Drosophila melanogaster: one gene and its partners. The protein of the gene in region 2 interacts with the protein of the main gene of each other region in a pairwise test. Each region holds a gene or a part of one and is shown on either strand. Other genes may lie near its edges.

Region 1 (3,713 bases), about 14 Mb from region 2:
TATCAAAAAATTTATTCTGATTTTTTTTCTAAAAAAAATGATTGTTTTACTCACAACTTTGGTTATAAGAGTGAATTTGGAATGTCATATCTCGTTGAGTTCGTGGCTTAATTTTCTATCATGTGTCATTCACAGCTGAAAACAAAAAATTTTTTAAATTTTTCGAAAAAAAATCATGCCTTAAAAATTATTAAAAATTTGTCAAAAAAATATTTTTACCAAATTAGTTAAAAAGTGATATGGATCGCTAGGTTTGGTTGTTAGCTGCAAAAAACGGTGTATTTCTTGTCTGTGCGTCTTAATTTATAAATATTACAACTAAAAAACCAATAAAAAAACGCATAAATTTCGCACATTAATTCGTCCTTTTTTTGGTTATAATATATCAGTATTAAAAATCTAAAAAATTTTCAATTTTTTTTAAAAATATGTATATTTGGGAAATTGCTGTAAAACTCAGAAATGCCGTCTAGCCGTGTAGCCAGCCAGCAGTTTAATTGGCCCCTGACCTTTGACCCGCATCTAATTAGTTTGATTGAAAAGTCAATAGCTTAGAGATTGTAAAATATATTTGCGAGCACAATTTGATTATCCAACAATGTACACATCGTTGATTGTCCTTGTCCTTAAGTCTAGTTTGTATGATATACAGTCAAAAAAAATAATAGGTATTTTTGTAAAATCGTATAGGTCGATTTGCCATTGCTGGGCAATGCAATCGTAGCGGATTTGTAATTATTAATTGCCCAACTGTTTGACAGCTGGCACACCTGTTGCCAGTCCTCGCCGGGTATTACATCGATGGGCTACACCAATCGCCGAACCACTCCGAACCAGGCGGAGATGGTGCGATTGGTTGGGTCTTCACGCCTCACAGATCTGTGGATATGGTGTGCGTGTGCCCGGCTAGCAATTGGTAGGTGGTGTACATGGGCTCCTCCAGTGGTTCCTTCTCGAAATCCACCTTGAACCTCTTGGCCGCACTCTCCATCTCCTCCAGGTCGCTGAAGCCCGGAAAGCTGGTGGGGCAAAAGTGGCCGGCAATTGCCTCCGGAATGTGGGTGACATTGTGCAGCATGTGCGCTGGCGTGGATTGCAGATAGTTTCTCCACTTCTGGTACGATGAGGGAGGCATCTGAGCATTATCCCTTCTTTGGCAAATCGGCGACGAGGTCTTGGGCATAATGCGCTGCGCCTGCTGCATCATGTGCATCTCCCACTCCAGATTGCCCACCATTTGATCGGATTGTGTAGAGTCTCGGGATGATGCACTCATGTCCTGCGTGCGCATAAGCACTCCCTCCATCTCCTCGTCATTCTCCTGGCCCTTTCTCGGCGATGAATTGGCGCTGCTGCAGGTGTAGTAACCGCAGGATTTGTCCAGTTGTGGTTGCTCTGCGAAATCATCGCAAATCGGCTGGCTGGAGCGGCTCCAGATGCTGCGACTGGACGATGAGGAGCTGCTGCTACCGCTGCTGCTACCGCTGCTGCTGCTGCCCACTCCGCTGCTGTTGCGACTGCTGTACAAACGCTTCTGGGAGCGACTTGCCGATCCGCCGGAGGCCACATAGATGCTGCTATTCAGGCTGCTCAGCTCCTTGAGCTTCAGATTGCTTGCACAACAACCCATGATTTCGGTTTCGTTTGAAAGTTGTAGTGTAGTAAACTCTGGTATGATGTTACTCGCTTGACAATTCCTTGTCGACTGTTCTGCATGGCCATAAACCGGCGGGCTTATATATGTCCAGCAGGTAGAGGCAGGAGGATCCCGGAGTTCCTGGAATCACCCGTACCGCATGCGGCTACCTGATTAGTTTTTCAGATATTTTCTGGCCTAATCCGCGAACGGGATTTCATGAAAATACGCGATACTTTATGGCCCGGCAATTTGGTCAAAAACACTGCGATTGGGAGAGTACCTGCGATCCTGTTTGAAAAGTCCTTGATTCGAGCACTTTCGATCTGGCCAACGAGTTAAGGTTGGACTGTCGTAGTGCTTACTCTTACTATCCTATACCTTCATATTTAAAATACTTTCCTGGCCATAACTCTTTTCGGTTTTATCAGCCTTTTTATTTGTGAAACTATGAGTTATGGCTGCAGATATATGACCGATGTATACCGATCATGGTCGGTCAGTCATTTTGGTCGGCGTCCTTGGGCCATTGTGTGTTGGCCGGATCCTTGGTCCTTGCCATGGCCAATTGTTGTGTAAACGCCGTGGCGCAGTCCTCGGAACGCCGTTGACGCCGGCCACAAGTCTCGAATCAGCGGGAAGGACCTTTTGCCAACCGAATCAAAAACCAGAAAAGTCGTAACCTCGAATACCACGCAGCTGCACCGACTTCGATCTATTTCGGAAGAAAACTCCTCAATGGAACGACTCTACCATTCTTGGACTCAACGTATAACTCAAGGCCAAAAGAAATCGAATTTGGCATCTGGATGCAAATGGAAATCAACACGGGCAATATGGAGAATGAAAATTGAAAATGTATTTCGCACTTCAATGAAAAACGTTTGCGATGAATGACCAAAGAAATTCGAATAACAAGGAATAACAAATCTAATTTACAATTAAAAGGCACATTTTTAGTGTGCGTGATCTTTATGTAAATTTCAACTGGGCGTTGCTCAACCCATCCACATCCACCCGTTTGCCCTTAAGACTTAAGGACGAACACGTGGGATCTCAAACTGAGATACCCTATCTGAGAGCTCGTGCCCCTATGTTATATCCTTATGTCCTTACAACGGAATGCAACTGCAGTGGCACGTGATAATCGCTGCCTCCTTTGGGGTCCGTATACCCATGGCACTTTTAACAACCTCCGGGTTCTCCTTCTTAGTTAACGGGAAACAAACTTGGCTTTTGTTTCTGACCAACTGAGCAATTGAACAACTGAACAACTGGCCAACCTCAGGCCTCATTTGACTATCGCACATTTGGTGTTTGCTGTTTTGGTTTCTTGTTGCATTTTCACACGCAATCGCTGAAATTCCCGCATTTTTCGGCTGGAAAAACGCTGAGCGGAATTTCCTCGCCTTTCGTCAATTTTCCTTAACGGAGTTTCCCGTTCTCCGTCTGTTTGGCTTGCACTCGTAGCGCTTGTTTAGCGAATTTGATCCGTATCCTGCATCGAAATATGCATTTCCATCCACAACCATATCCACATTCGCATCCGCACTTGGCAGCAGTCACGTAATTCGGGCATTTGTTCACTGCACGTGACGGGTCTCCATTTTGGGGAGAACTCCCAATGTTCGATGCGAGAGCGGAAACGGAAGTCGAAGAAGAGCTCCCGGTGACCCCAAGAATACAGTGTTAGAAAAAATGTGCCTGAAAACAAAAGACAGAATCTGATGCATCAAAGAAATCGACTATTTAATTAAAAAAAAAATTTACACAAAAAGAGACTCTCTCTGCAATATGTAACTTTTATTCACCAAATATAGCTACACTTTTGTCCCTGTGTTTGGCATGTGATTTGCCCTTAGCTTCGACTCAGTTGAGCTTGTGCAAATGGCATCTGTGGAGTTGCTAGTGGGGCCAGGAAACAGCTTGAATAGCTAGGAGTTGGTGAAGGATACATATCCCTCGATTGATACAGAGAAACTCGAAATGGGGAAAAGGCACGTATGGCAAATGGGCCTTGACAATTTAGCTAAGTAAGATGCAAAACTAACTTACGACTTCCTCATTGCTTTTGCAT
Region 2 (3,623 bases):
TCTCAATGGGATGTTTGAGGGATCCTCGGACGGGTTTGATTTATACTGCGGATGCGTCTGGCATCGACCAGCCGTTGGCCTCATAAATGTCCCAGAAGGACCTCCGGCAGCTGCCAGTAACCATTTCAGGGTATTTTTAAGCCATAATTGTATTACGACAAGCTCATTTTAAATGGTCTCCACCTTTCAAAAGCCTACGTATCCTTACAGTATTTAATTCGCAGCTAAAAACCTCGTGATTCTTTTCGCATCTCAAGCAAAAGTTTCGATGGTTCTATATTAAAGAGAATTATTAGTTGGTCAACATATTATATGCGTTACTTCCGAATTGGTCGGCGGTGTAAGGCGTCGTCATGCTATGAAAACCCATTTTCCCGAGCCCTAAAAACCTTGGACCAAACAACAAACGACTTTTATGCGTTGACATAAAAGGGCGCAGCATCAGAAAATCAAAAACGATAAAAACGGTCTCTCAACTTTTATTTTACCCCGCATGTGGAGCTGCAAATTGTCATTAGACATGCCGAATTTATGATTTTCGACTGTGATTTCGCTCTCTTTTTGGGCAATCTGCCATTCGATCCAGCACCACCCACCGACGCCCGCTTAAGTATGCTACACACATTTTTTTGGTAACCCTTACCAAGGCCCAAAGCACCCCTTTACTTTACCCCTCCGCCGCCGATGTGTATGTGGCACACAAACTCATAAATTGTATAAATTGTTCGGCTATTATTTCTCGTGGCTGTCAACGCAATATTGCAGGCAAATTGTCCTGGACAATGACGACAACATGTTGGCGGGGAAATGGGCAAGCAGGGGTTATAGGTCGGCTTGGAAATACATTTTTCTATGTGTTTTTATGAGCCCCGAATGTGAGATGGAGGCACATCAAAATGGAGATTACCTCTAGTTTTCCGACAACCTGTTTTATTAACAAGTTTTCACCTCTCGTATCGTACCTTCTAACGTGTATGATTTAGGTACGATTGGTCCAGCTGTGAATCTGCTGCTTATGTTCAGTGATTCTATCAATATAATCTATCATTTTCAGACGACAATTTCGGTTGCAGACCGCCAACCCCTTAATCCCTAACCATATATGGATTTTTTATATAACCATTTTTATGGAATTTTCTGCTCGTTTGTGTCAGATTTTTACCCATTTTTCGCAATTGACTTTGCAGCCTTGACTTACGCCAAATGACATAATTAGCCATGGGCGGGGGGCGTGGCAGGTAGTCGTTTTAGGGCTAGGGTTATTATATAGCACGTAACCCTAGCGCTGGCCATGCGCCATAAAAGATGCAATTTCGCGCGAATTCTAACCCCAGCAAATCCTTTTTCGTCCTGCACTTTAATGCCCGTTTTTTTTTCCACCGAAAATACCCGGGTTTCCTCCCTTTTTATGCCGTTTTTATTATTATTTGCGAAAACGGTTAGAAAGTCAATTGTTTTATGGGATTACGGAAAAGCAGCAGGCGGGGCATTCCAGTAGGTGCTGCCTCAAAAGTCAGCTGCCCAAACATTTGGGGCCTACAACGCTACGCCCAGATCCCCAGTCGTTCTCCGAGCACCGACTCGACAAGACCCAAAATATATTCGAGCTCAAAAGTTTACAATTTCGAACAAAGTCAAGGCTTCACAAAATTTTCATATAAAATTCACCGTTGAAAATAACTTTTCGTTCCGCTCTTTTTTCGTTCCTTTTCTGTTTAAATATACAATATATATTAGGTAAAAAATAACATACTACACGTACAACTTTTCAAATTCAACAAAAATATATATTCCATACAGATTAAACGGCGTACGGACCCACTGAGTTACAATGCAACGTTCCATTTTCAAGAGTAGCTGTTCCAGGACACTGATCCTGCTTAACTCCCTGAAATCCATGCACCACAAGAGCCTGCACGTGGAGCAACTGTTGGAGGCAGCTCCAGCGCCCAAAAACCGCTGCCTGGATCTGTTGGGTCGCTTGATCCATGGCCGATTGAGTCTCTTGGGCGGTCGTCCTGTCCCGCCCAGATTCTTACCGCTATTGGCGGGTGATCGAAGCCTGTACTTTAATGCGGACGAGGACGAAGAGTTTCGTAAGCGTTTGGCCATGCAGCTGAAGGAGTTGCGAGAGACCCTGCAAGAAAAACAGGAACTTCGCGAGGGACAAGAGCAGGACTTTCAGGAGCTGGAGCAACAGGACGAGGAGGAGGATCAGCCGTATGTGCCCAGATCTCGGGAGATCTCCATGGAGGATCTCACTGACGAGGAGCTAAGTGACGTGCGGGGGCTGCGGATGAGTGCCAGCCAGGATGATGGCAAGTCTGGTAATTTCGAGCAGCCAGAAACCAGTGAATTGGAAAGCGAGGAGACGGCGGATGCTAAGGATCCCCGGGAGTCCGGGCAGCCGCGAGAGCCTCAAGATGCCCACGATGCCATCGAACACGTTCGCGAGGGTGAAATCGAAGGAGTTTACTGGACGGGCGAGGGCAAACGGATTGTCACTCAAACGCCACAGCGTAAGACGGGTCATTCGGGATTCATCGATGGCCATGGCGAAGAGATTCCCCAGGAGGACTCCAAGCAAGAGGTGGCTCCCTATCACCCTGAGCCTCGGGCCCAGGCGCAGGCCACCTCCAAGGTGATAAGGAAGGGCCGCAAGCCCAAGTCGTCAACCAAAACCAACACGCCCAGCGATTCCGACGAATAACTAAATTGCCAGTAAATGAAACCAAAACCCTCGAGCTGGGATCGCTAAAATAAATACAAAAGGCTAAAGACAAAACGCTCTATGCCGTGTTTCCCTTTCCCAGTAACCATCTGAGGTTTCTGCGGGTTGCATTCAGTTGAGTCATCTGCAGCCAGCACTACCTGGCCACTGCTTAGCAAATTTTATGCAATGACCAGGAGTCAAGGACGATTTACCTGGGCGGACAACACACGCTTCCCACACGCGGCGGTGGGCACTCTCACTCTTTTTTGCGTCCTCTAAAATCCTTTTTTACAGCCCTATCCTTTTTTTGGCTTTTGGTGGAATTCTGGGAAAATTTTACATAAAGATCGTAGAACACCGAGCATGTTTTTTTTTTTTAATATAATTTTTCAAATAGATTCAAATGTTGCTAGCCATTGGTGGCTCGTTTAATGGTTTAATCAACATGGACAAGAGCCAAGTCCATATTCTCCCCTGTCTGTGGCTGTTCCTTCTGTACCTGCTCCATTGACCCAAGATGATAAATGATGTTTGCCAATCTAGCTGACCCAAGGCCGGAAATTAAATTTGTTCGAAAATTTGCCACTTTTCCCCGTCTGTTTCTTATTTGTTGTTTGTTTCCCCCTCAGAGTCACGCCCGAAAAAAATCTGGAGAAAGGACTGTGGGAACAAAATGGGGAGGAGATATGGAGAATTAATATCGGGCTTTGGGAATCTTGTAGAACAAAAACATATACATATAACAAAATAATGTTCTTGATGTTCTATTTTTAACTAGAAGAATCTTGGGATTAAAATACAAGTTTTTATTGACTTTTGATACAAGACTTGTTTCATAAATATAATAGCAAATGAGTGCTCGCCGGTTTTCAATTTATAAACGTATTTGAACGTAGGTATCCGAGATAAT
Region 3 (2,945 bases), on a different chromosome or scaffold from region 2:
GGGATAGTGATGGGGCTCGTGCTTGTCGTATCCGTATCCGTAGCCCGAATGGCCGACACTCGGATAGCCGTGTCCGTAGATGCCACCGTAAGCGCTGACCACATCGTGATCGTATCCGTAGCCCAGGCTCTTGTGGACGGGTCCTTCGTGCTTGGTCACCGAACTGTAGCTGGTGGCGTGTCCACCATGGGGAGCTGCCCAACTGGCTCCCACCAGAAGGGCAAAGAACAGACCTCCGCTAAAGGATTTCATATCGGTCACTTATTCGCTGTTTTCCAATCGGAACTTTGATGATGTCTGCTGGTTCTTGGGGAGCTCACCTAGACTATATATAGCTATCGAAGACTCTGGGGCAATCAACCATCGGGTGGTCATTCTCTTGGCCACACCATTCACCAATCGAGCTAGCTGATTTGATAATTACCTCACTAACTCGTACTTATTATTATTGTTTCGGCCATTGAGCTCTATAGAAAATCGGCACATTTTATTTAAAGTCCAATCCGTTACAATTAAATTCTGCTAGTAATAATTAATAATATCAGATCCAAAAAGTTTTTGTTAGATCGTTCGATGTGTTTGGTATTCAGTCAAAGAGAAGGGAAAAACTAAGGCAAGAACTTATTGCTTAATTTACAAAAATTAATTATGACTGAGAATGTGAACTGATGAAGGCGGCAGCTTTTGCTTGAAGAAATAAGGAAATGCTGTTAAACTAACCAATAAATAAACTTTGTAGTGTTGTACTTTGAAATCCTTATGTAAATATCCAAAGCGAACCTATTTTGCTATAAATAATTATGTGTTTTTCCTAGAAATCTGTTGGCTTCAACATTATATTTATTATATAGTTATTAGTAGTTTTAAAACTTGAACTACAGGATTTCTTTTTATTTAATATGCATGTTATTCCTATAGATAGCGAAACAATTTATGCAAATAAACGTCTTAAAAATAATTAACATCAGATAACGTAGGCTAAATACCAATATGCTTATATTTTCACGCATTTCAAATTTCCGAGCTTAAAGTCTATTAGCCTTGTAAATTATATGCATTAAAAAACACTATCGGTAAGTTAACACCAATTCGGAAGCTCTGGGTGCCCCACAGCAGACCCCCTGGTCAGAAACACCAACCGATTGGACGGTCCGCCCAACGCTGCCCTCCCCTTCTCAGCCCCTTACCGCACCGTCCGTCTCAAGGTCATTTGGAGTGAAGTAGGCGAAAAAGAGGGTCCAACCGTGGAAACGCAGCGAGGCGAGGCGAGGCGGCTATTGCTGAGCAATTTGAAAGCGGGCCACACTTGTTGATTGATTTCTAAGCAACAAAATCGAAAAGCTTTGCGTTTTTCAAGCATTTGAGCGATGTTCACGCCCCGCTTAATGATGATGTTGTTGTTTCTGGCAAGTTTTAATTTGCCAATCGACCGACCGCCCAAGACTATGAATACGAATGGGGAAAAATGAAAATTTGCACAAAAATTCGAAGCATTTTTTATACCCATTTTTGGGGCTCTTACTTTTTTCTAGCCTATTTAGCCCGCAGTCTAAAATGTAATTAATCGATCCATAGAATGGCCAGAAGTATAAAAGCATTGGGCATTGTCTGGTGATTATAACAGTTCCAATCGTGATTTAGGCCAGGCAAGTCAATCAGAAACCAACGAAAATGGCCCACCAATTGAGCATCCTCTGCTGCGCACTTCTGGGAGTGGCTGCTGCTAGCTACATCCCTCATGGTGGATATAGTCACGAACACGGCGTGGGGTACAGCATCCAGACGCATCACGAGGCGCCCAAGCAGTGGCAGGATCACCACCAGGCTCACCACCAATGGGTGGATGTCCCAAAGGCCCATTCATGGGGCACAGTTCAGGATCATCACCACCAGCAGTGGGCTCCAGTCGCTGCGCACGATAGCCACCACCAGTGGAGCCACCACGAGGAACCCAAACACCATCCCAAATACGAATTCAATTACGGGGTGAAGGACACCAAGACCGGCGACATCAAGCAGCAGTGGGAGACCCGCGATGGCGACAAGGTCAAGGGAGGCTACACCATGAAGGAGGCCGACGGACGCACCAGGATCGTTGAGTACACCGCCGACTCCCACAACGGATTCCAGGCAACCGTGAAGCATGTGGGACACGCCAGTCACTTGGAGCACAGCCACTCATATGGCCAGCAATACGGACATGGGCATGGTCATGCCACCAGCTACGTGGATGTCAAACAGGACACCAGCAGCAAATGGGAGGACAAGAGCAACAAGTGGTGGTAGAGGAGCTGACCTAACTGACTGACTGCAAGCGATTCGGACCGACTTAATTATTGTAAATAGAACTACAAAATTGTTAACTTAAATAGTAGGTAAATATATCAAAGTGCAGAAAAAAGCTACAAATCAAACTACTTTACTATTTAAAGTTTTTACAATAGTTCTGAGATTTAAGACCACAACGAACACCGTTTATTAAATGAGAGAAACAACTTACCGATCCAATAATTCTAAGATACATTCGATACGGAGGATGTTGAGGCCTTAGTGTCTTGCAGCCTTTTTGTATTCTAGCTCACATAAGGAGGTTCGGAAGATCTTACGCACATCTTTTCTAAGGACTTTGAAGGCTTCGGCTTGTTCAGAAAAGTCCTTCCAAAAGTTATCATCAGAGTCCGGTAAAGATATGGTAAAGATGGTAAAGATATTCCTGATTTTCACAATTTTTTAATTCATCTACATCGCCGTCGCTGTCGTTACTTAAGTTCCCCTGCTTATTCGACTCGATCTCGATGCCCAGAGTCATTGACTTCGAAACGAATGCCATTGAAAGTTTTTTCGGACCTCCCATTTTTGATATTATTAATCTGCTGAGACAGAGAAACAACGCCTGAGAAATCCTATTTATTGCCTATTTTCCAATTGAGTTGATAAGTAGTAGA

What was found.
Region 1: the proteins of CG1324 (region 2) and CG14427 interact in a two-hybrid assay, tested with the Drosophila melanogaster proteins (one large-scale study listed by BioGRID).
Region 3: the proteins of CG1324 (region 2) and Cpr76Ba interact in a two-hybrid assay, tested with the Drosophila melanogaster proteins (one large-scale study listed by BioGRID).

Annotation. Positions count from the first base shown.
Region 1 is NC_004354.4:7,038,607-7,042,319, reverse strand, and holds CG14427 (uncharacterized protein), read right to left. Parts: upstream 1,718-3,713; 5' UTR 1,631-1,717; coding exon 872-1,630; 3' UTR 551-871; downstream 1-550.
Region 2 is NC_004354.4:20,733,908-20,737,530, reverse strand, and holds CG1324 (uncharacterized protein), read left to right. Parts: upstream 1-1,570; 5' UTR 1,571-1,737; intron 1,738-1,800; 5' UTR 1,801-1,831; coding exon 1,832-2,710; 3' UTR 2,711-3,076; downstream 3,077-3,623.
Region 3 is NT_037436.4:19,517,002-19,519,946, reverse strand, and holds Cpr76Ba (cuticular protein 76Ba), read left to right. Parts: upstream 1-1,614; 5' UTR 1,615-1,671; coding exon 1,672-2,286; 3' UTR 2,287-2,395; downstream 2,396-2,945. Other genes in the region: Cpr76Bb (cuticular protein 76Bb), read right to left, coding at 1-252.